Linked DNA regions of Oryctolagus cuniculus. The protein of the gene in region 1 interacts with the protein of each later gene in a pairwise test. Links are inferred from orthologs where the notes say so. Each region holds a gene or a part of one and is shown in the gene's direction. Other genes may lie near its edges.

Region 1 (3,500 bases):
CTTGCCCCACTTTGTGCAGACCCACTCCCTGCCCGTGGTGGTGATCTCCAACATCTGCCAGATGCCGAACGCCTGGGCGTCCATCCTGTGGTACAACATGCTGACCAACAACCCCAAGGTCGGTGCCCGGGGCTCGCCGGTAAGGACCCAGCACCGGTCACTGGCACCACGCCCTCGTCTGAACGGCGACCGCGGTGTCTTCACAGAACGTGAACTTCTTCACCAAGCCTCCGATCGGGACCTGGGATCAAGTGGCCGAGGTGCTGAGCTGGCAGTTCTCCTCCACCACGAAGCGGGGGCTGAGCATCGAGCAGCTGACCACGCTGGCCGAGAAACTCCTAGGTTCGCTGTCACCTCTTCTTCCCCTGCCCTCCTCAGACGAGGAATCTGGCCCGGGGGGCTCTCCTGCAGTCGGTGTGCCCTGAGCAAGGCACTGTGCTCGGGCAGGAAGCTTTTGCTCCGTGAGGTTGGGCGTCGGGGTGCAGGGACCTGCCGCTCGCTTCTATGAGGTGGGAGGGAGATTTTTCCGTTTTTCTCCTCTGGTTGCTGTCTTTCCTGCCCTTTGAGGATAATATCTTGTCCAACCTTATAAAATTTTTTTAAATAAACTTGTAAAACAATTATTTCATTTGAAAGGCACAGAGAGATTGAGATCTTCTGTCCACCGGGTCACTCCCCAAATGCCTGCAATAACCATGGCTGGGCTAGACCAAGGCCAGGCACTCAGAACTCAATCCATGTTTCCCACGAAGGTGGCAGGGACCCAAGTACTTGAACTATTTCCTGCTCCCTCTCAGGGTGTGTGCTAGCAGGAAGCTGGATCAGAAGCAGAGTAACTGGTACTTGAACTTGGCACTCTGATAATGGGGTGCAAGTGGTGAGTCAACCACTACACTGAGTGCCTGCCCCATCCTTTTAGGATATTTAATGTGTTTCTCAGAAGGTGGTGCTGAAGACCTGATGTTTTCTGTCCATTTCTTCGATAAACTGTAGCCTAGTTTGAAGTTTTTCTCCCCTGGAGAAAGTTTCTAGAATGCTCTGTGTGTCACCTGGACTATGGATAACTTTGGTGCTGCCATCAACTCTGTCAGCTTGATGGTGTGTGCTGCTGCTCCCCATCATCCGCTACCTCTGCCCAGCTGCACAGCAGCCCTGGAGGGCCAAGGGATGGGAGAGGGTGTGTGCATGTGCGTGTGTGCGTGGACACGAATGGCAGTGGCAGCCTGCAGACACGTGACAGCCAGTAGCTCCATGGCCTGTTACGGGCCAAGTGTGTGTGCTAAGAAGTAAGGTGTTGACTCAGAGCTGAACATTTGCTACTTTTCTTCTTTGTCCCTTCAGGACCTGGTGTGAACTATTCAGGGTGTCAGATCACATGGGCTAAATTTTGCAAAGTAAGCAACCGTTTTACTCCTTGCTGTTGTCTCTTGGGAGTGAGCATGGGAGCGCGTCCCTAAAAGATGGGCATAGTGCTTGCTGGGCCTTCAGGCCAGTGACTTCTGGTCCAGTGGCTTCTAGGACCTCCTTGAGGGCAGGGGACCTAAGGAGGTATTTTTGGGCAGTGCCCTCTGCCCCAGGGAGAAAAGGCTGGGGTGGCGATGGACTTGATTTCCCCATTATTTTCTTCAGGAAAACATGGCTGGCAAGGGCTTTTCCTTCTGGGTCTGGCTGGACAACATCATTGACCTTGTGAAAAAGTATATCCTGGCCCTTTGGAATGAAGGGTAGGTTGAGCAGAGAGCGCCCGGGGTAGCCAAGTCACCTGCCTCTCAGCCCCAAGGCCCGGGACCAATGGCCTGGAGCCCCAGCAATGCTGTCCTCCTCTCCGGCTCCAGGTACATAATGGGCTTTATCAGCAAGGAGCGGGAGCGGGCCATCCTGAGCACCAAGCCCCCAGGCACCTTCCTACTGAGATTCAGCGAAAGCAGCAAAGAGGGAGGTGTCACCTTCACGTGGGTGGAGAAGGACATCAGTGGTAAGTGAGCTCTGCTGCTCCCTCGCGGCGGGGCTGGTTCTGAGCACTGCTGCCCTCTGGCGGGCAGAGATGGCCTCACACTCCCCTGCCCCACGCAGACAGGTGCGGCCACCTTTGAACTCCTGCGTCTGAAAGATTGACTTGCCAGTCTGTTTCGCTTGTTCCAGTGAGCAGTGTGTTCCAAGAAATTTGCAGTTGAAATTTTTTATTCTTCATCCTCTTTCTTGCCTACCCTCACTAACACATCTTACTCCGGTCTGTTGCCTATGGCCAAAATGATAGTCTCTGTCATAGTCATCCTGGCCCTTTCCACAGTGCCAGGCCACAGGGAGGGGTATTCAGGGGCGCGAGCGCTGGCCTGCCATAGGTCTGTCCCCACCAAGGAGACACGCCTGGGGGGAGTATGCTGTGGGAGTACGCCTAGCCGCAGGTGCCAGCACCTCTCCTTCCCACCTCGTGCGACAGGGAAGACCCAGATCCAGTCGGTGGAGCCGTACACCAAGCAGCAGCTGAACAACATGTCGTTTGCTGAGATCATCATGGGCTATAAGATCATGGACGCCACCAACATCCTGGTGTCTCCACTCGTCTATCTCTACCCCGACATTCCTAAGGAGGAGGCGTTCGGAAAGTACTGTCGGCCGGAGAGCCAGGAGCACCCTGAAGCTGACCCAGGTAGTTGTTGATTTTCCACGTTCCCGTCCTCCTTCTTGGGAGGAGCTGCAGGTTGCGGGGTCCTTGGCGGAATAACCTGGGAGACCCTCGTTCTCCTCCTGGGGAGGAGCTCGCCAGGCGCTGCTGGCCGTGGCCGATGTGATTTGAGAGAAGAGTGGACTCCGGGTGGCCAGCCCCTGCCCCACAGGGAGCACCCCAGTCTGAATGGGGAAATAGGTCACCCCTGCCCACGAAACGTGAGAGGACTGGATGCCCAGCTAGCACGGTGCTTCCTGTGTTGGGGGTGCCAGCAGGGCCGGGACGGAGACCTGAGCCCCGCAAAGCACCGGAGCAGTGGCAGGAGGACTGCAAAGCTTCCTGGAGGACACGGGCCTGGCGGTGCCAGAGCAGGGAGCACCGCGGAGGAGGGCTCGCAGGGGTGAAGGCAGCCGGTGCGAGGGGTGTGGGATTCGCATGTAGGATGTGCGGCTATTAAAATCAGTTTTTAAAGATTTATTTATTTGAAAGACAGTGACAGAGGGAGAGGAAGAGATACGTTACACCTGTGGCCCCTGGGTCCTTGGTGTGAACCGTGGGTAGGGGGAGCCCTCCTGTCTGCGTCCATCACACGCTTGCCACTCCAACTCTGGCTGGCTGTCCCCGCACCTGTCCTGAGGAGCAGCCTCTGGCTTGCATTCTTCTTTCCCTTTTCTAAAATTGAATTTCCTTCCTTCCTTCTTTGAGAGACAGAGTGCCCCCATCTGTTGATTCACTCCCCAGATACCTGCAGGGGCCTTAGCAAAGGCTCACGCGTTACCTGAGCCATCACTGCCGCCTCCCGGGTCTGCGTTAGCCCGGACTCCGAGCCCGT
Region 2 (3,500 bases), on another chromosome or scaffold:
AATAAAACATCAGGGACCCAGGGACCCTTCTCTCCACAAAGGTCTACACCTCAGGCCTGGGCCAGATGAGTGTGCTGGCCCAGCACTGGACTGGACCTTGGGCTAGCTCTGCACCGGCTGACTGTTTCACCAGGAACAAGCTATTTAACAGGGTGGAGAAGCAGCCTCCCTAAAGAGCATGGCCTCCTGGCATGGACATGGTACTAATGGCCTGGTCCTTAGGGTCTCCCCTACGTCTGTCATCCTAAGATTCTTTCCTGGATAACACTCCTGGCCATAGTTTTGTCCTCTCCCAAGGAGACCCCAGGTACTCCTGAGAAGCCTGCGCTGCTGGTCTTCCCTTGTTCTAGCACCCCATCTGCCAGCTGGAGCCGGAACGCACCTCCCGCCTGCCCCAGCACAGCTCTGCGGGTTACCAGGAGCCCATGGGCCCAAAAAGGAAACAGGACAGTCTGAAGTGACATAGCCAGTAGCCAAAGGAAGCCTGAAACCCAGACACCTAACACATTGATCGGGCTCTTTCTAGAACACTCAAGAGCCTCCCTACCCAGACACCTGTCCCCAGGAGCCTGGGATCCACTCCAGTAGTTTTTGGCTGTTGCTTCTGGCCAAGTGATCTCTGTGTCCTGTTCTCTTCTCTGGGCCACTGAAAAATGACGGACACAGGCTCAGCTTGCCCACCCCTTCTAACCACCCTTCTCCTCCACCTTCCTGCCTGCACGGGACCTGAGGCAGCCCTGCCATCTCCTACCACCAACCTGCTGTGTCCTTTCCACAGGATGGGGCTGGTGGGCAGCAAAAAGCAAGTCAAGGAGAAGGGCAAGAGCCACTGGAGCCCTGCGACGGTCAGCGCTCAGAGCAAAGCGCCCCCACCACTACCGCCCCTGGTGAGTGACGGGGTGGGAGGCAGCAGGAGGGGGAGTGCGGTGCACCTGCAGCTCCCGGAGGCTACCACAGGTCTCCAGCCGGCCCAAGTGCCATCTCTCGGTTCTGACAAGCCCACCGTAGTAGACAAGCCACACACCAGCGTGGCAGTAGAGCAGAATGCTCAACAACCAGTGCAGATCTTAGTGTGTGCCTTGAAGCAGATTAGTTAACGCACCTGCGCCTCAGTTTCCACCTGACGGGTATAGTAGACGTGCCTTCCTGATAGGCACGGAACAACACACAGGGTCTAACCCAGGATGTTTAGCCAGTGCTCTCTTGTCACAGCAGAAACCAAAGAGGTCAGCTTGGGAGGGCGTGGTGGGGAAGGGTCCGAGCTTTTAGCTACCCCTGCGCCAGCCTCTACCTGGAAGCACCCGGACACCACTGCCCCTGCGCAGCGCTGCCAAGGTGAGCATCCTGAGACTGAGGGCACAGCAGACCCTCTGTCTCCCTGCAGCCCCACAGGCACTGCACAGGCAGAAAACTTTCCATGGGCAGAAAACAGGGAGATTTCAAGTGGTAACGTTTTACTGCTGGGGAATCCATCTTCCCTTTTAAAAATGATTTACTGGGGCTGGCACTGTGGTGCAGTGGGCTAAGCCTCTGCCTGTGGTGGCGGCATCCCAGATGGGCACTAGTTCATGTCCCAGCTGCTCCTCTGCTATGGCCTGGTTAAGCAGTGGAAAATGGCCCAAGGGCTCAGGCTCCTGCACCCACATGGGAGACCCGGATAAAGCTCCTGGGTCCTGGCTTCGGATGGGCTCAGCTCCAGCCGCTGAGGCCATGTGGGGAGTGAGCTGGTGGATAGAAGACCTTTCTCTCTGTCTCTCCCTCTTTCTATCTGTAACACTACCTTTCAATTAAATAAAATCTTTAAAAAGATCTTTAAAAAAAAAGATTTTCTTTATTTGAAAGGCAGAACGAGAGAGAGAGAGGGAGACAGAAAGAGATCATCCATCCATATGCTGGCTCACTCCTCAAATGGCTGTGCTGGCCAGGTCTGGGCCAGGCTGAAGCCAGGAGCCAGGAATTCCTTTCTGGTCTCCCACATGGGTGGCAGGGGCACTTCCTCTGCCTTCCTGGATGCATTAGTGGGAAGGTGGATGGGAAACAGAGTAGCAGAGACTTGAAGCAGCACCCCATTAGGGGATGCTGCTGTACTGCAAACAGCGGCTCAATCTACCGCACCACGCCAGCCCCAAACCCATTTTCCCTTAAACACACTTCTGGTTTGTTTACAAAGCAGTGAGCATCCTCTAACAGCCACTGCATTTTCACAAATGTGTTTCCAGGCGATGGTTTGTGCCCCTGTTGCTGGGCCCCTTACCCTCTTTTGGCCTAGGGTACTTGGGAGCCATGCCTGAGCCCCCTCCTCTGTCAACAGGGGCACATCACGAGGCCACCCCTCGTTTCTCACAGGGTCTTGGTATGAGGTGGGAGTTACTGTAGTCATCTCATGGCTGAGCCTAGCCATCTTCTCGCCTGTGACCCAGTTAACCCCGGGGCCTGGGCACTCAAAAACCAGCTGTCTGTTGAGTAAACAAATGATCACACGGGTAAAACTGGACTCGAGACAGATTGAGTCATTTCCCCAAAGTTATATGTAAAATGGTGGAGCCTGGGATTTATTTTAACTTAAAAAAGCCATATAACCGAAAGATTACAATTCCTCACTATCCCAGACACCAGCGGCCAGCTCTGAGTCCTGAGAGCCCATTTCTGTGCATTCCTTGTGTGTTCATGTTTTGAAGGGAGTGAGATCATGCTTACATTTTGCAAAATGCTACTTCAAGATTGTGTTCAAGAAATCTGGACCACAAAAAGAATATAAGAGCACACACATCGGGCTGAAAGAGTATAATCAAGCCAGCATGTGGGCGGCTCCCCCCAGCCTCACGTTTTTCTTGGTGTCTCCTTGCACCTCTGCCAGTTCATCTCCCGTCGCCCACACCCCCACATCCCAAGAGTGTTCATCAAGCCTTAGCTGTTTTACATTATCACATATGTAAACAAGAATAAACAGCATTTATTTTTCCCACTATGAACTTTATTTTTTTAAGGATTTTATGTATTATTTATTTGAGAGGTAGAGTTACAGAGAGGCAAACGGGGAGAGAGAGAGAGAGAGAGAGAGAGAGAGAAAGAGAGAAACAGAGAAAGAGAGAGAGAGAGAGAGAGAGAGAGAGAGGTCTTCTATCTGCCAGTTCACTCCCCAAATGGCTGCAATGGCCAGAGCTTGGTTGACCTGAAGCCAGGAGCCAGGTGCTTCTTCCGGGTCTCCCATGCGGGTGCAGGGGCCCAAGGACTTGGGCCATCTTCTACTGCTTTCCCAGGCCATAGCAGAGAGCTGGACTGGAAGAGGCGCAGCCGGGACTAGAACTGGCACCTATATGGGATACCGGTGCCGCAGGCAGAGGATTAACCTACAGAGCCACAGCAACGGCCCCCCAGCTGTGAATTTTAAACCAACTGAATCGAGCAGCAGATATCCTCTGAGACTTGAGTCTGGGTTCAATATTATGTCTGTGAGATTCACCCACATTGATGCATGGAGCTACAGTTCATTCACTTCA
Region 3 (3,500 bases), on another chromosome or scaffold:
CCACCCAGGCAACAGCGGAGTGCCTGAGCACAGCCTCAGGAAGCATTTATTAAAAAACTCCTGGCTGATTCCCTTCCATGCAAATCTAAGCCCAGAAAGAGAGCAAAATAACAATGGAGTCTCTGCACTCTCAACCCTAGTCATGCGCTGAGCTAAGAAACCTACCCCAATATCCAGTGCTTAGTGAGTCCTTCCAGAGTCAGCAGAAGGCTGAATCCATGTAGCTATGTTCTCTGCATAGCCTCTTTTTAAGGTGCTGTCCTCTCTGTGTGGCTGAGTTCCAGTCTGAAACCAAACTTATAGATTCAAATGCTAGCTCTGCCATTTCAAGCTTTCATGGCATTGAGCAAGTTGAACAAATGCCTGTGGCTCAACTTTGTCACTTGAAAAGGGGGTATAATGATGATGATTATGTTCTAGGGCTACTGTTAGCTAATCCATATGGGATTAAAACTGTCTGGCACATGGTGAGCAATTAATAAGCTAAGAGCAGTTACAGTTATTGTTGTTGCTGCTGGCAAAAGTAGTTTTCCTTGCTCCACTCTCTGCACCCCAACACCTAGGCATGTAAGACACTCCATAGTCATCTCATACAAAGCCATCCATCGCCAACATCTGGAGTGCTATAAGTCACTTTGCCACTGGTTGTTAGCTCTTTTGTCCTTGTAATTGTCCAACAAAGCACACAGGACAGTTGCTTTTATTTCACCATTTTACAGATGGAAGGATTGAGGGTCAAAGAGAGTTTATAAAGATCTGCCCACAAAGTGTCTGACTTGAAACCAGGCTTCCAATAACAAGTTATGTTCCTTTATCCACATTCTGTGTCTACACTGAAACCCTCAATATTTTGGAACAGGAATCAGACCAAAACTTGATTAGGATAATTTGGAAACACATATTTCTATGTGTGTGTCCTTTTTCAACAGTGAATCACATTACCCTCTGCCTTGGTACCTTCTGCGTGTACCCTATCCCATGATGCTTATGTTTATATTTATGATAATTAAGTGATGAAAGTGATGAAAGTTATTTTATTTTGAGAAGGTTTTTATAACACCTATCTCCAGTGTGAGATGATAGGATGTACCCTGAGTGGTTGTACAACATTTTTCAATGCCAGAAGTCCTGTCCCCAGTGCATCTCAGTTGCACATGATGACACCTGGATACTGGCTAAAGCCAAGAACTAGGAGAAGACTTTGATCACTGAGTATAAAAAGCTCTATGACCCTCTGGCCCTGAAGTTTCCACCAAACCTCATATTAAATGCCTTAATCACACTTTTTGACACCAGATTCATTTCTGAAGGTGACCATGTAGACAAATCAGAAAAGAGATAAGGAATCAAATGAAAACAGTCCTAATTAATGAAAACGAAACCCTCTTTTATGAAACTTCCTCAATGGGCTTGAGTGAATTTCATGCTGACACCACAAGCCAGTTGGCCATTTGCACCAAAAATATGCACCCTTTCTCCTCTTTATAATTGCAGCTTTAACTAGAATGATATTACAACCACAGCAATTTATTATTATTTATTATGTTTCTTATGTGCCAAGCATAGAGCAGATAGACAGATATTGAATCTATATAACAACCAGATGAAGTAGTTAGCAAGCTGTGCAACTGGACTCAAAGCCCAGTTCTTGACCACTGTGCAATACTCTGAAATGTGAAACAGGTGTATTATTTTTGATTAGCCTAAAGCAGTGTGCATCAGCTCACCACTGTTTTCTAAAAGTAAAGGAAAAGAATAGACTATTTTATGGGGAGAAAGTACAAGCTCGCATGAGGAATTAAAGGACAGCCTCATCAACTTCAAACCGCAAGCCCCACTCCCAAAAGAACTTTCTACTCGTGCTCAGGGGTGGGAATACTCACAGCCTAATCGTCTTGGCCTCCCTCACTTTTATCTCCATCATTATCCTAAAAGAGAATTCATGTTCTGAATAATGATCGTGAAGAACTTCAAAGCCTCTCAAATGTCAAAGGAAGATTTGAGTTTTATAATTATTAAGGGTGGAAAGTTGAAATTTTATTGTAGATGAATTCAGTATGTGCACGAAGGATACGTTGAGTTCAGAGCAGAGCCTCTTCCATAATTACTGGGTGTCATGAGTACCTCCCGATAAACACCAGCTGTCAGGGCTGGGAACCCCTCCTGACTTCCGTCTCCTGACATCCATACATTTAAAATAATTATCTAACCATTGCTGCATCAAGCTTCAGTCATTTATGTAAAATGCTTTTTTAAAAAACATTTTCTTCTTTACTAGTGATAAAAAAGGAACTGTCAAACATTACCATGTGCATACAAATGGTGAGAACAAATTATATCTGGCAGAAAACTACTGTTTTGATTCCATTCCAAAGCTTATTCACTATCATCAACACAATTCAGCAGGTAACCTATTTCAATCTTTCTTTTATGGGATCTTGTTGGTAAATATCCGTTTTCTTGGATACTACTGATCATAATATTCCTAATTATATAGGGAACCTCGAAAGTAGGAAAAAATGCTGTTGAGCCCTTTGGTTATGTGACTTTTAACTTATTTTCCTGGAATATAACAAGGTATACTCCAAAATGCCATAAAGAATGACACTGAATGAGTTGAACAACTTAAAAGGATAAATTATCTTTATAAAAGTATCTGTAAGGTTTCTCCTGCCTATAGAAACAAGTTAATTCTAAAATTCAAATATTACAGAAATATATGTCAATAGGTGGAGAGCCTCCATGGACAAGTTAGTGTCTATTATGATAGATTTTTTGTATGCTGATACTAACACTTATGATTCATTATATATAAATAGAAATGATATGTATATACATTACCTTTTTACAGAAATGAGATCATTCTACACCTACTGTTCAGCTTTCTTTTTCTCTTCATTATGTCTTAGGGATTTTTCTTTGTATGTATAGCTTATTTTGATCTATTTAACAGCTACATAGAATTCTTTGGCAGAGTTACTCCATATTTTTTTTAATTTACTTGACAGGTCGAGTTATACATAGTGAGAGAGAGAAAGACAGAGAGAAAGGTCTTCCTTCCATTGGTTCACTCCCCAAGTGGGCGCTACTGCTGGTGCTGCACCAATCCAAAGCCAGGAGCCAGGTGCTTCCTCCTGGTCTCCCATGCGGGTGCAGGGCCCAAGCACTTGTGCCATCCTCCACTGCCTTCCCGGGCCACAGCAGAGAGCTGGACTGGAAGAGGAGCAACTGGGACTAGAACCTGGTGTCCATATGGGATGCCGGCGCCACAGGCGGAGGATTAACCAAGTGAGCCACGGCGCCGGCCCCCTGCATAATTTATTCACCCAGCTCTCTGTTGGTTCGCAGATGGGTCATGTTCAATATTTTGACATTGCAATGGATGCTTCAATGTACAATCTTGTGCACATAGCCCTGTGTACCCAGATAGTTCCTATAGCCAAATTCCTAGAAGTGGAATTTCTGGCACAAAGGCTAAGACTATTAAAAATGTCCATGTT
Region 4 (3,500 bases), on another chromosome or scaffold:
ACGAAGAGATTTAATTGGGCCATAAAACATTTTTTTTTTTTTTCCCGAACAGTTGAGCCCCATATGGGGGTTGGCAGGCAGCAGAGAGGACCCTTTCAAGGTGTTCGTGTGAAGAACTCCGTGAAAGAACTCCTGCTGCACATCCGAAGTCATAAGCAGAAGGCTTCTGGCCAAGCTGCGGATGATTTTAAGGTGGTACGCATTTCTTGCTTTGAGTGGATTGGAGGGGAGGTTAGTCTGCCAGGGTTATTGCTTTCTACTGACCAGCGTCCAGTAAGTCACTTGCAGTTTTTCAGATGATAGAGTTCATAGGACAGAGACCGGACTTGTCTTGATGTCTGCTCTGTTCCTATCACTTAACCCAGTGCCAGGCACATGGTAGGTATCCGAGAGAAATTGATGAATGAAAGCAAGTTAGGGCCAAGGAAATAATCAGTATTCAGTTGACATGGGATGTTTTGACTACACAGGGAAAAGATAAATGGCCTTTATTAATTTAGTCTTAATAAGTTGAACTAAGGTGAAAGTGAAAATGGGGAAGTTGCAAGAGAGAATGAGAACTGAGAATGAAGTAAATATTGATAGAATAACTGATTCCTGGTAAGCTATAAAGGGCGGTAGAGATAAGTCTCTTTATTGATATATATTAAGCAGGAAACCATTTTGTGTATATTAAATTGGAAATTCTTTTTCTTTTATAGACACAAAGTGTGAATATAGAGCAGTTCACAGGTAAGAGTTACTTCTGTTCATAATCTTAGAGTAAAATAATTCAGTGTGATGATGGGAAAACTTGCAAGGTAAAACGGTCACTGACTTCATACTCATTTCTTGGGACAGAATTGAAGAACACAGTATCATATACTGGGAAAAGGAAAGGGCCTGATTTGTTTTCTGATGGACCAGCTTGCAAAAGGCCAGCTCTGTTGCATACCCAATTTTTGGTAAGGACTATTTGCTTCTGCATACCCTTTTGAAGTTATCCCTGAACTAATTTTAGAAGGAAGGCAGAGTACAAGGTGTGTTTTCTTTCTTTTGCAGACACCACCTCAAACACCAACGCCGGCAGAGAGCATGGAAGATGTTCATCACAATGAATCCAAACAGGACAGCTGTGCCGACCTGCTTCAGAACATTATGAACATTAAGAATGAATGCAGCCCAGTTTCCTTGAACACAGTCCAAGTTAGCTGGATGAACCCTGTGGTGGTCCCTCAGAGCTCTCCACAAGAGCCGTGTCGGGACTTTCATGGAGGGCAGATCTTCTCCCCACCTCAGAAATACCAACCATTCCAAGTCAGTGGCTCCTCCCAAGTGATGGACCAGGCTTCTATGTATCAGTATTCTCCGCAGAACCAGAATACAGAACAGCCGCCCCCGCAACATTACACCCATAACCCGACTCTGGAATACAGTCCTTATTCCAGGACTTCCCAGTCCCCCAGCTGTGAAGCAAGCCTCTTTGATAGTCAGGCACCACAGTTCTGCCCAAACACCACTTTTACAACCCTCCTAAGTGGTCATGGGGAATCTGAGAATATTACTGTTCCCATTCAGACTTCCCCCAGTGTCCAGCAGCAAAATGATACTCACTTGCAGAACTTCAGTCTGATGCCAAACAGTGCTTGTCAGGCCATGGCGGGGCATGATGCAGGCGCTACCGCTTTAAGCTCAATCCAGGACATCAGCAGTCCAATGAGCACCACACAGTTAGGGAAGTCATTTTTTCAGTGGCAAGTAGAGCAGGAAGAAAGCAAATTGGCAAATATCTCCCAAGACCAGTTTCTTTCAAAGGATGCAGATGGTGACACGTAAGTATCCTTTTATCTCGGGTACTTAAGTCAAACTTGTTGGATCTAGTGGGTGCAGAGTTTTTCTAGTTGGATACCTTAATTGTTGGCTAACCAAGATGACTATTATAGACAGAAACTGCTACTCCATGGTGACTCATATTTTAAGAGTTTACCTCTTTTCTTTTTGGCTGAAACTAATTGTTCTAAATTAATAAAAATATGTGTGTGTGTCTTTGAATAATTGGTTTTGGAATACCAGCATAAACTGTGTCTTCAGAAACCATAGTTAAGCATAAAAATTGTGAGTTGATTTATAGATTGAATCCTAATCTGTGCTAATGACTTTTGTGGCATTGGGCAAGTTATTTAACCACTCTCCGCCCCAGTTTCTTAACACGTAAAATGATAGTGCTTCTCACAGGGTTTTTATGAGTATTAAAAATTATAGTTCCAAAGGGATCAGCATGGTGCTTGGCAGCTTTTTTCTTATTTCTGGTAGCCTGAGTTATCCCTTTGCAACTTGGCTGTGTTACCAACCTACCAGAAAGAACAAATTATGCTCTGTAGTATTCCAGTTCAGTGTATCAATATATCAAAAAGAGGGTTAAAGGAAATTTTTTTTTAAGAGGAACTTCAGGGAAATTAGAAGTGATTCACCTCCTTTCCCTTGCTTGTTCCCCAGGTTCCTGCATATTGCTGTTGCCCAGGGGAGAAGGGCACTTTCCTATGTTCTCGCAAGAAAGATGAATGCCCTTCACATGCTGGATATTAAAGAGCACAATGGGCAGGTGAGGATCTTGGCAGAGTCTGGAATGGCAAAGATCTGGTCATAGTAAAGTGACTGATGGACCAGATAATTTCAGAACTGAAGAGCAAGAGCGTTTAGTTAATATTAACTTTGAGATATTGACTTTTGCTACCATCAACCTTGAAGTTATTAACATTGACTTTGTAGTTATTTGATCGAAGATTGAGTATAATAAAGCCTCACCCTGTTTATTTTAGTTTCCTTGTCTTACAATATCTGATTGCTTATTAGTAGAATTTATTTTCTCTATGTGGGATTTTCCCTAAGTCACAGTTTAATTTCATATGCCTTGTTAGGGTACTGTTACATGTTAAAATACATATACATAAAAATATATATACACATGTTTGTGTATGTATATGTATATGTGTATATGTGTGTGTATACATATATATATATATATGCTTTTTTTCTCCTGAACATCCACAGAGTGCCTTTCAGGTCGCAGTGGCTGCCAATCAGCATCTCATTGTTCAGGACCTGGTGAACCTTGGGGCCCAGGTGAACACCACAGACTGCTGGGGAAGGACACCTCTGCATGTCTGTGCTGAGAAGGGGCACCCCCAGGTGCTTCAGGTAAGAGGCAATGACGCAGACTCTCATCACTGTGGGCCGAGAGGGGGCTTGGATATTAGAAGTGCGATGTAGGTTTCTTGGTGAAATAGTGTGTTTTGAGTTGACTTTATTATTCCTTGGGATACCAAGAGATCAGTATTTATATAGTTTGTCTTTTGCCAACAGATGTCTGTTTTAAAATTTTGCAGGCAATTCAGAAGGGAGCTGTGAGGAGCAATCAGTTTGTGGATCTTGAGGCAACTAATTATGATGGTAAGCAGCTGAAACTTTATTGAATAAAGAATCATTTGGAGTCTGGAGTCCATAGCTTTAGGGTACTGTGT
Region 5 (3,500 bases), on another chromosome or scaffold:
TTCTTGAGTCCTCCCTGTGGCTCCAACTTACCTGTTCCGTGGGAGCTTTGAGGTCAGAACAACCCAGGTTTGAATTCTCAGATGTGGCATTTGTGAGCTATGTGATCCCTGTGATTCAGTGTCCAGGGTGGACATTTGGGGTAGCAGTGATGATACTGCCTAGGGCGCCTGCATCCTGTCCTCGTGCCTGTGTGTAAGTCTTGACTCTACTTCTGTATCAGCTTCCTGCTAATGTGTACCCTGGAGGCAGCGGATGATGGCCCGGATGACTTGGGTCCCTACCACCAATGAGGGAAACCTGGTTCAAGGTCCTGGCTCCTGGCCTTGGCCCAGCCCAGCTCTGCTTATTGCAGGCATTTGGGGAGTGAGTCAGTGGACGGAAGATTCTTTCTCAAGTTCTTTATTTGCTTTCCAAATAAAATGAAAGTAAATTGTTTAAATTTTTTTAGAGAAAGTTTAATGTTCCAATTTATTTAATGTGTTTGGCAGGTGGCAGGTGTTAAATGCGTGGTCATCACTATACTTTTAGTTGAATTTATGCACACGTTGCTTTGCAGAGAGCCCGAGCCCAGCACATTGTGCCCTGTACCATATCCCAGCTGCTTTCTGCCACTCTGGCCGATGAAGTTTTCAAAATTGGGAATGTTGAGATTTCACAGGTATGTGAAAGAATTTGTGTAAGAGTCGATCATATAAAGAATGAAATGACTTAATTTAAAAATGCATATGTGCTGCTTTGGTTTCTTGAAAGATAAAGTTGTTTTTTTTTCTCCTAACCTAGGTCACCATCGTGGGGATAATCAGACATGCGGAGAAGGCACCAACCAACATTGTTTACAAAATAGATGACATGACAGCTGCACCCATGGACGTCCGTCAGTGGGTCGACACAGATGTAAGAGGCTGTTTTTGATCAGGGTAGGGTTACTTTGGGACTTTGGAGAAGATGCACTTTTTAAATATTACCTTTTAAAATTTTTAATAAAAAATAATACTTAAGTGAGACGTCAGAGGCAGAAGCCCTACTGTGATGCATTAATATATTTGATTCCATAAAAGTTATTTTATTTATGTATGTGTTTATTACTTATTTTATTTGAAAGGCAGAGTTACAGAGAGGCAGAGAGAGAAAGATCTTCCATCTGCTGGTTCACTCCCCAAATGGCCGCAATGGCAAGGGCTGGGCAGATCCGAAGCCAAGAGCCTGAAACTTCTGGGTCTCCCATGGGGGTGCATGGGCCCAAGGACTTTGGCCATCTTCCACTGATTTTCCAGGCCATAGCAGAGAGCTGGGTCAGAAGTGGAGCAGCCGGGACTTGATCCAGTGTTCATATGGGATGCTGGCACTGTAGGCAGCGGCATTATCCACTATGCCACAGTGCTGGCCCCTTCGTAAGAGTTTAAAACCTTGGCCGGCGCCGCGGCTCAATAGGCTAATCTTCCGCCTGCGGTGCCGGCACACTGGGTTCTAGCCCTGGTCGGGGCGCCAGATTCTGTCCCGGTTGCCCCTCTTCCAGGCCAGCTCCCTGCTGTGGCCCGGGAGTGCAGTGGAGGATGGCCCAAGTGCTTGTGCCCTGTACCCGCATGGGAGACCAGGGAAAGCACCTGGCTCCTGGCTTCGGATCAGTGTGGTGCGCCAGCCGCGGCGGCCATTGGAGGGTGAACCAACAGCAAAGGAAGACCTTTCTCTCTGTCTCTCCCTATCACTGTCCACTCTGCCTGTCAAAAAAAAAAGAAAAGTTTAAAACCTTGTAAATTTCCCAAAATACTAAAAAGGCAAGTGACAGGACACCGTAGAATGTAAATTCCAAGAGAACAAAAATTATTTCTTTGATCACCTTTGTATTCCCAGCACCTAGAACACCTAGAATAATGTCAGTGACATAATTGGCCCAGCCTGACTTAGTAAATACTGTTTACTGTTTATATGAATGGAGAAAATATTTGCAACAAATGACAAACATTTTAAATATTAACTAAAAATGCTTACAAAGTGAAAAAAAACACCCACAATTGCACCTTAGGAAAATGGACAAAGAAGTTTTAAAGATCTATTTATTTATTTGAAAGAGTTACACAGAGAGAGAAGGAGAGGTGCAAAGAGAGAGAGGTCTTCCATCCGCTGGTTCACTCCCCAGTTGGGCGCAACGGCCAGAGCTGGGCTGATCCGGAGCCAGGAGCTTCTTCCAGGTCTCCCACGTGGGTGCAGGGGCCCAAGCACTTGGGCCATCCTTCACTGCCTTTTCAAGTGCGTTAGCAGGGAGCTGAGGCTCGAGCCTGCCTTCGGATGGGATACTGGCACTGCAGGCAGCAGCCTAGCCTGCTGCACCGCAGCTTTGACCCCGAGATACGATTTTTAATTCATTGTATTGGCAAAGAAATTTCAAAGAATGACAGTGTCAGGTTCTGGTGAGAGCAGCATAGTGCCTCTCGCACTTAGTAGGCACCTAATATGTGTTGAATGATTTGCCATTGTTTAAGGAAAAATACCATTCTACCCCGATAATATAAACAAGAATTGGCAAACCCTTCCTCAAACATCCTGTGTCAAAATTTTCAATGATTAAAATGTTGAAACAGCAACTCTACTTCTAGAGTTTTATACTGACATAATTAAAGGTGCATTCAAAGATTCACTTCTAAGAATGTTGATCATGGCCAGCGCCATGGCTCACTAGGCTAATCCTCCGCCTGCGGCGCCGGCACCCCGGGTTCTAGTCCTGGTTGAGGCCCCGGATTCTGTTCCGATTGCTCCTATTCCAGTCCAGCTCTCTGCTGTGGCCAGGGAAGGCAGTGGAGGATGGCCCAAGTACTTGGGCCCTGCACCCGCATGGGAGACCAGGAGGAAGCACCTGGATCGGTGCAGCAAGCCAGCCGTAGCAACCATTTTGGGGGTGAACCAATGGCAAAGGAAGACCTTTCTCTCTGTCTCTCTCACTGTCTAACTCTGCCTGTCAAAACAAAACAGAACACAATGTTGATCATAATGTGTTAATGAAAAATTAAAAGCAAAACCAAAATGCTAGCAATAGGAGATTATTAAGTAAGCCATGGTTTATTTATACATACTGCAAATTATTTAGAAATGTATGTATCATCACAAAGAAATATTTACTGTCAATTTGAGAAAAGGAACGTGTTGCAAGATGTATGTATGTATGTATGATTTGACCTCGTTTTTGTAATGTAATGTGTATATGATTGTCTATAAATACGAAGAAAATGAATTGAAAGAGAAACTGGCGTTGTAGCACAGTGGGTTAACTGCCACCTGCAATGCCGGCATTCCATAGTCTAGTGACGGTTCAAGTCCCAGCTGCTCCACTTTCTTTTATTTATTTTTTTAAGATTTATTTATTTATTTGAAAGGCAGAGTTACAGAGAGGCAGAGGGAGAGAGAGAGTCTTCCGTCTGCTGGTTTACTTCCCAGATGACCTTAATGGATAGAGCTGGGCTGATCTGAAGCCAGGAGCTTGGAGTGTCTTCCAAGTCTCCCACGT
Region 6 (4,127 bases), on another chromosome or scaffold:
ATCCACCTTGACGTCTGCCTGCGGCTGCACACGCAGGAACCTATTTCCCGACTCCCACGCAAAGCAGGCCACATAGCGTTCATTTCCTGCAACAGGAACCATTGGAATTTTCCTCGGGATTCAGGATGAGGATGGGTATCTCAGGAGAGGGCCTGTGAGGGAAATTACACGCAAGAAGAAAACAATGAACGTGGCAGGTGGCAGCCCAGGAATTCGGAATGGAGCATCCTGCGCATGTGCGGACACGCACAGCAGCACGCGGGCAGGTGCCCAGGGCAGGATCGCCGCACACCCCTACTACAAACACCCCAAATCTTGTAATTCTCATAATGTCTTTAAAAATAGTAAGTCTAGGGGCTAGCACTGTGTATGTACCAGGTAAAGCAGCGCCGGCATCCCACGTGGGCGCCAGTTCCAGTCCTGGCTGCTCCACTTCTGATCCAGCTCTCTGATTCAGTAGACAAAGGAACCGCTGAGATAAAGCCAGCCCCGATCCAGCTCTCATGTGGCCTGGGACAGCAGTAGAGGATGGCCCAAGTGCTTGGGCCCCTGCACCCTCGTGGGAGACCCAGAAGCTCCTGGCTCCTGGCTCCAGATTGGCCCAGCTCTTGCCATTGCGGCCATTTGGGGAGTGAACCAGCGGATGGAAGACCTCTCTCTCAAATACATAAATAAATCTTTAATAAGTCTAGTCCTTAATAGTCAAGGGCAAGCAACCAATTTCTTGTGTCACTGAAGTGACACAAAACAAACCCACATGTCACGTCTGAACTGCGGCAGATCCGAATGCGCAGAGAAAAAGTTTTCCGGGGAACCCGAGCGGAGCTCTCTCGGTCCACCACTCTGCGCTGGTTTGCTCTACCGAGTCATTTCGAGGAGAGGGACTGTTCTTCCAGAACCACCCAGGTCATGCCAGCGCGCCCCGTCGGTCCGAGGCAGCCGCAGCGCCAGCCAGGAGTTCACTCCCGGCGTCCAGGGGCGCTGTCGGGGTCCCGCTCCCCCAGTGCCTCCGTCTCCCACCGCACCCTGCCCTCTGCTGACGGCGAGTTCCCCTCTCCCAGTAAAGCTCCCCACGCAGACGGCTGGGCCAGAAGACAGCCAATTAGGAAGCACACACAGAGGCCCGCGGGCGCTGGACGGCGCTGGAACGTGCCATCGCTGCGCAGGGAGGCGAGGCGCGGGCGGGCGTCGCGGGGCAGGTGCGCGCGGTCACCCCGGGCCCTTCGCCCGAGCGCAGCCTTGGCCCGGCACACGCAGCGCTTCGCAGGCGTCCAGGCCCGGGAGCCCCGCCCTCGGGGGGGCCCCCGGTTGGGAGGCGGCTCGCGTGCGTGTCCCCCGCCAGCCCACGTGGTGCGCTCGGGGGCGGCCCGGCGCCCAGGGGCGGGGAGGCGGAGCGCGCAGGGCGGCGGCTGTGGCGCATTCGGCACCATGTCGTACCCCGGGCACCCTGGCGCTGGCGGCGGGTACTACGCAGGCGGGGTAAGTGCTGGCCTCGGGCTCCGGCCAGCCTTAGAGGCGCTGCGGGAGGCTCCTCCGGCGTCCGCAGCCCCGGCTCTCCCTTGAGCGCTCGCACCCTCATTCCAGCCCCCGCGCTCGGCGCCTGTCTCCCGCTCCCTTCTTCCCTCTGCCCCTGCTCCTCCTGGCGCCTGGGGATTGGGACCCAACACGCCCACCTTGCAGTTGGATACTGGCGGCACTAAATGGTGCACACTGGGTGTTGGCTTCCTCTTCCTCCTCCCTCCCGGCTTCCCCCGAAGCCATTTTAAGTGTAGCAGAGCCCTGCCATCTACCGCTCTCCGTTCCGAGAAGGTAGAGGGGGAAGCCTTGGCAGCCGGGCCGCGTCGGGGTCGCCGTGGCACCCGCATCCGCGCCCCCTTTCGCGCCAGGCCGCATTGCCGCCAGCTCCCGAGCTCCGAGGAGGAGCCTGAGACCTGTTGACAGCCCCCAACAAGCTGCAGGGACAGAGCACAACGCTTCTACCCTCTGCCCTTAAGTCACCAGCCTAGGCTACCTGTGCCTGCAGGTTCAAATCGTGGCCCAGGCGGGGTATCCCCTCCAGGTCCAAGCTGCCGGTTCTTAAAGTTCTAGCGGGATGCGAATGGAAGAAAAGGGGTGGGGTGGGGGAGGTCAGCCCCCGGTTTAGGGCGGCGGGCATGGCCTGGCCCTGCACCCAAGCCCTGTGCCGAGCGAAGAACCCTGGGCTCCGCAGATGACACCTTTGTGTTTCTATCCCACAGTACGGAGGGGCTCCCGGAGGACCCTCGTTTCCTGCACAAACTCAGGATCCTCTCTACGGGTACTTTGCTGCCGTAGCTGGACAGGTTGGCTTTTCCACTTTTTCCTTTTCAAATTCAGAGTCTGCACTTGTGTTAGCTGTTGAGCCAGTGGGACCTGAAAAAAAATGAACTTGGTTCTAGAAATGTGTCGCTTCCTTTCTCCCAAAGAAAGAAGGAAAGTTGTTTGTTTCCAGCGTCGGGTCGTTATTTTGTAATACTCAGGACAAGTTAGGATCAGATGTTACTGCTGTTTCTGTGGGTTCAGTTCAGAAGTAACCTTGATTGAATGCGGGTGAAGTTGGGTAGGCCAGAGTACACTTTGCGGATGTGTAAGGGAGCTGGAACGCCCTTCGGTGTGAATCCTCTGGGGCCATGGGTGCTTTCAAGAGCAGAAATTCAAGCTCTGGTGAACATAAGCCCTGGGCTACACAAGGTAAAGACATGCATTAGTAATTACGTGGATGGGCTCTAATGCATTTCTTTGCATTGAATTTGATTCTGCAGCGTTTCCCTCCTTATGAAATAGGTAGGTATGGTAAAAATAGCAGCTTCCAAACAAGAAAGGTACTACTCCTCGTGGTATCAGGAAGTTAATCCTGTGACAGCCAGATGATGTCCCCCAGCCGGCTCTTTCGTGTCCCTATCAGGTGGTGTGGCCTGTTGACCTAGAGTCAGAATTCAGGTCAGTTCCCCAAGACCTCTCACCTCTGCGGGTTGCATGACAGCTGCTGGCTTACCCCGAGGGGGCACAGTCCCCAGCTGGTGAGGCTGCTGTGTGTGGCAGATCCACTGCTGTTCGAACACAGACGTGTCCAGAAGGGGTGTTTGCTCTTGGGCATTCTACTTAGTCTTGTTGTGATCAAAAGCTAGAATTAGCAGACACTGAGTGTGAAAATGCTACAGAACGTTATGGGATGAAAACCTAGGACCACCTTTGAAGGTAGCACTCTTAAGAAATGCAGCTGAAGAATCTGAATGGAAAGTTGAGTCTAAACCAGGAAGACTTTCCTCTTAAGTATCTGCCGCATGTTATCGATCTGTATCTTTGAAACCACAAGACAAGGCAGACCTCGAGACGAGCGTTCTTAGATTGCCGCCTCCCCAGTGTGTAAGTGACTCCACCTGCTTAGCTTTCAGCAGCCCCAGCCTCAGCTCCGCTCATCCAGCCCCCGCTCGTCATTTATGACTTACCAGACTTGAGGACTGGGGCACTTTATTTTAAAACCACTGCAAACAACATATATTTAGTTCTGAGCTAGTTCAGCCAATGAATGAGCCCTGGGAACGCATCCAGTGTACCTTCCAGGTAAAACCATGCCTTGCAAAGCCATCACATCCCAAGAATAGGTGATCAGAGAGGCCTCTTCTGTTTGAACCAAGCCGATGACTTACTGATGGCTGCTCTGTCCCCTGCTGTCTCCCTCCTCCGCTGAGAGAGAGAGACGGAAATGAGAGAAAAGAGATTTTTAGGCAGCTCCATAAATAAGCTAAAAATGCTCAGCTTTGGCACGTTCCTTGCTCAGACTGAGAAGAGAGTAGTTGGAAGGATGATGCGGCATGCCCCGTTTTGGGAAGAGTTTCTTTGAAAAACAATGCTCACGCATGATGGTTGCTTTTATTATTACTATTATGACTGCTGCATTGAATGCGGCAGGGGAAGAACTTTAAAGAGCAACTCAGCTCGCTGTTCTGAGACCTCTCCCTGTTTTCTCACAAGGATGGGCAGATAGATGCGGACGAGCTACAGCGGTGCCTGACGCAGTCCGGCATTGCCGGAGGCTACAAACGTAAGTTGATCGTCCCGGGTTTCTCTGCACACTCGCTCGCGCCCCGTATCTCAGCTGTTGCTTC

What was found.
Region 2: the proteins of STAT3 (region 1) and BLK interact in binary tests that used the Homo sapiens proteins (3 or more experiments, as listed by UniProt). The link is inferred for Oryctolagus cuniculus from reciprocal best matches to the Homo sapiens genes STAT3 and BLK.
Region 3: the proteins of STAT3 (region 1) and BMX interact in binary tests that used the Homo sapiens proteins (3 or more experiments, as listed by UniProt). The link is inferred for Oryctolagus cuniculus from reciprocal best matches to the Homo sapiens genes STAT3 and BMX.
Region 4: the proteins of STAT3 (region 1) and NFKBIZ interact in a two-hybrid assay, tested with the Homo sapiens proteins (2 studies listed by BioGRID and IntAct). The link is inferred for Oryctolagus cuniculus from reciprocal best matches to the Homo sapiens genes STAT3 and NFKBIZ.
Region 5: the proteins of STAT3 (region 1) and RPA2 interact in a two-hybrid assay, tested with the Homo sapiens proteins (2 studies listed by BioGRID and IntAct, with this or other methods). The link is inferred for Oryctolagus cuniculus from reciprocal best matches to the Homo sapiens genes STAT3 and RPA2.
Region 6: the proteins of STAT3 (region 1) and SRI interact in binary tests that used the Homo sapiens proteins (3 or more experiments, as listed by UniProt). The link is inferred for Oryctolagus cuniculus from reciprocal best matches to the Homo sapiens genes STAT3 and SRI.

What each region holds. Positions count from the first base shown.
Region 1 is NC_091448.1:20,494,264-20,497,763, forward strand, and holds part of STAT3 (signal transducer and activator of transcription 3), read left to right. Parts: intron 1-19; coding exon 20-118; intron 119-206; coding exon 207-342; intron 343-1,341; coding exon 1,342-1,394; intron 1,395-1,629; coding exon 1,630-1,724; intron 1,725-1,835; coding exon 1,836-1,975; intron 1,976-2,440; coding exon 2,441-2,653; intron 2,654-3,500. UniProt on the Homo sapiens protein: Signal transducer and transcription activator that mediates cellular responses to interleukins, KITLG/SCF, LEP and other growth factors. Once activated, recruits coactivators, such as NCOA1 or MED1, to the promoter region of the target gene.
Region 2 is NC_091433.1:42,982,853-42,986,352, reverse strand, and holds part of BLK (tyrosine-protein kinase Blk), read left to right. Parts: intron 1-778; 5' UTR 779-779; coding exon 780-887; intron 888-3,500. UniProt on the Homo sapiens protein: Non-receptor tyrosine kinase involved in B-lymphocyte development, differentiation and signaling. B-cell receptor (BCR) signaling requires a tight regulation of several protein tyrosine kinases and phosphatases, and associated coreceptors.
Region 3 is NC_091453.1:1,655,933-1,659,432, forward strand, and holds part of BMX (cytoplasmic tyrosine-protein kinase BMX), read left to right. Parts: intron 1-2,278; coding exon 2,279-2,406; intron 2,407-3,500. UniProt on the Homo sapiens protein: Non-receptor tyrosine kinase that plays central but diverse modulatory roles in various signaling processes involved in the regulation of actin reorganization, cell migration, cell proliferation and survival, cell adhesion, and apoptosis.
Region 4 is NC_091435.1:56,493,375-56,496,874, forward strand, and holds part of NFKBIZ (NF-kappa-B inhibitor zeta), read left to right. Parts: intron 1-52; coding exon of another isoform or gene 53-63; coding exon 64-192; intron 193-701; coding exon 702-732; intron 733-840; coding exon 841-944; intron 945-1,041; coding exon 1,042-1,811; intron 1,812-2,475; coding exon 2,476-2,581; intron 2,582-3,030; coding exon 3,031-3,177; intron 3,178-3,365; coding exon 3,366-3,429; intron 3,430-3,500. UniProt on the Homo sapiens protein: Involved in regulation of NF-kappa-B transcription factor complexes. Inhibits NF-kappa-B activity without affecting its nuclear translocation upon stimulation.
Region 5 is NC_091438.1:143,728,122-143,731,621, forward strand, and holds part of RPA2 (replication protein A 32 kDa subunit), read left to right. Parts: intron 1-557; coding exon 558-659; intron 660-781; coding exon 782-895; intron 896-3,500. UniProt on the Homo sapiens protein: As part of the heterotrimeric replication protein A complex (RPA/RP-A), binds and stabilizes single-stranded DNA intermediates that form during DNA replication or upon DNA stress.
Region 6 is NC_091447.1:47,172,397-47,176,523, forward strand, and holds the start of SRI (sorcin), read left to right. Parts: upstream 1-1,327; 5' UTR 1,328-1,428; coding exon 1,429-1,479; intron 1,480-2,237; coding exon 2,238-2,321; intron 2,322-3,993; coding exon 3,994-4,063; intron 4,064-4,127. UniProt on the Homo sapiens protein: Calcium-binding protein that modulates excitation-contraction coupling in the heart. Contributes to calcium homeostasis in the heart sarcoplasmic reticulum. Modulates the activity of RYR2 calcium channels.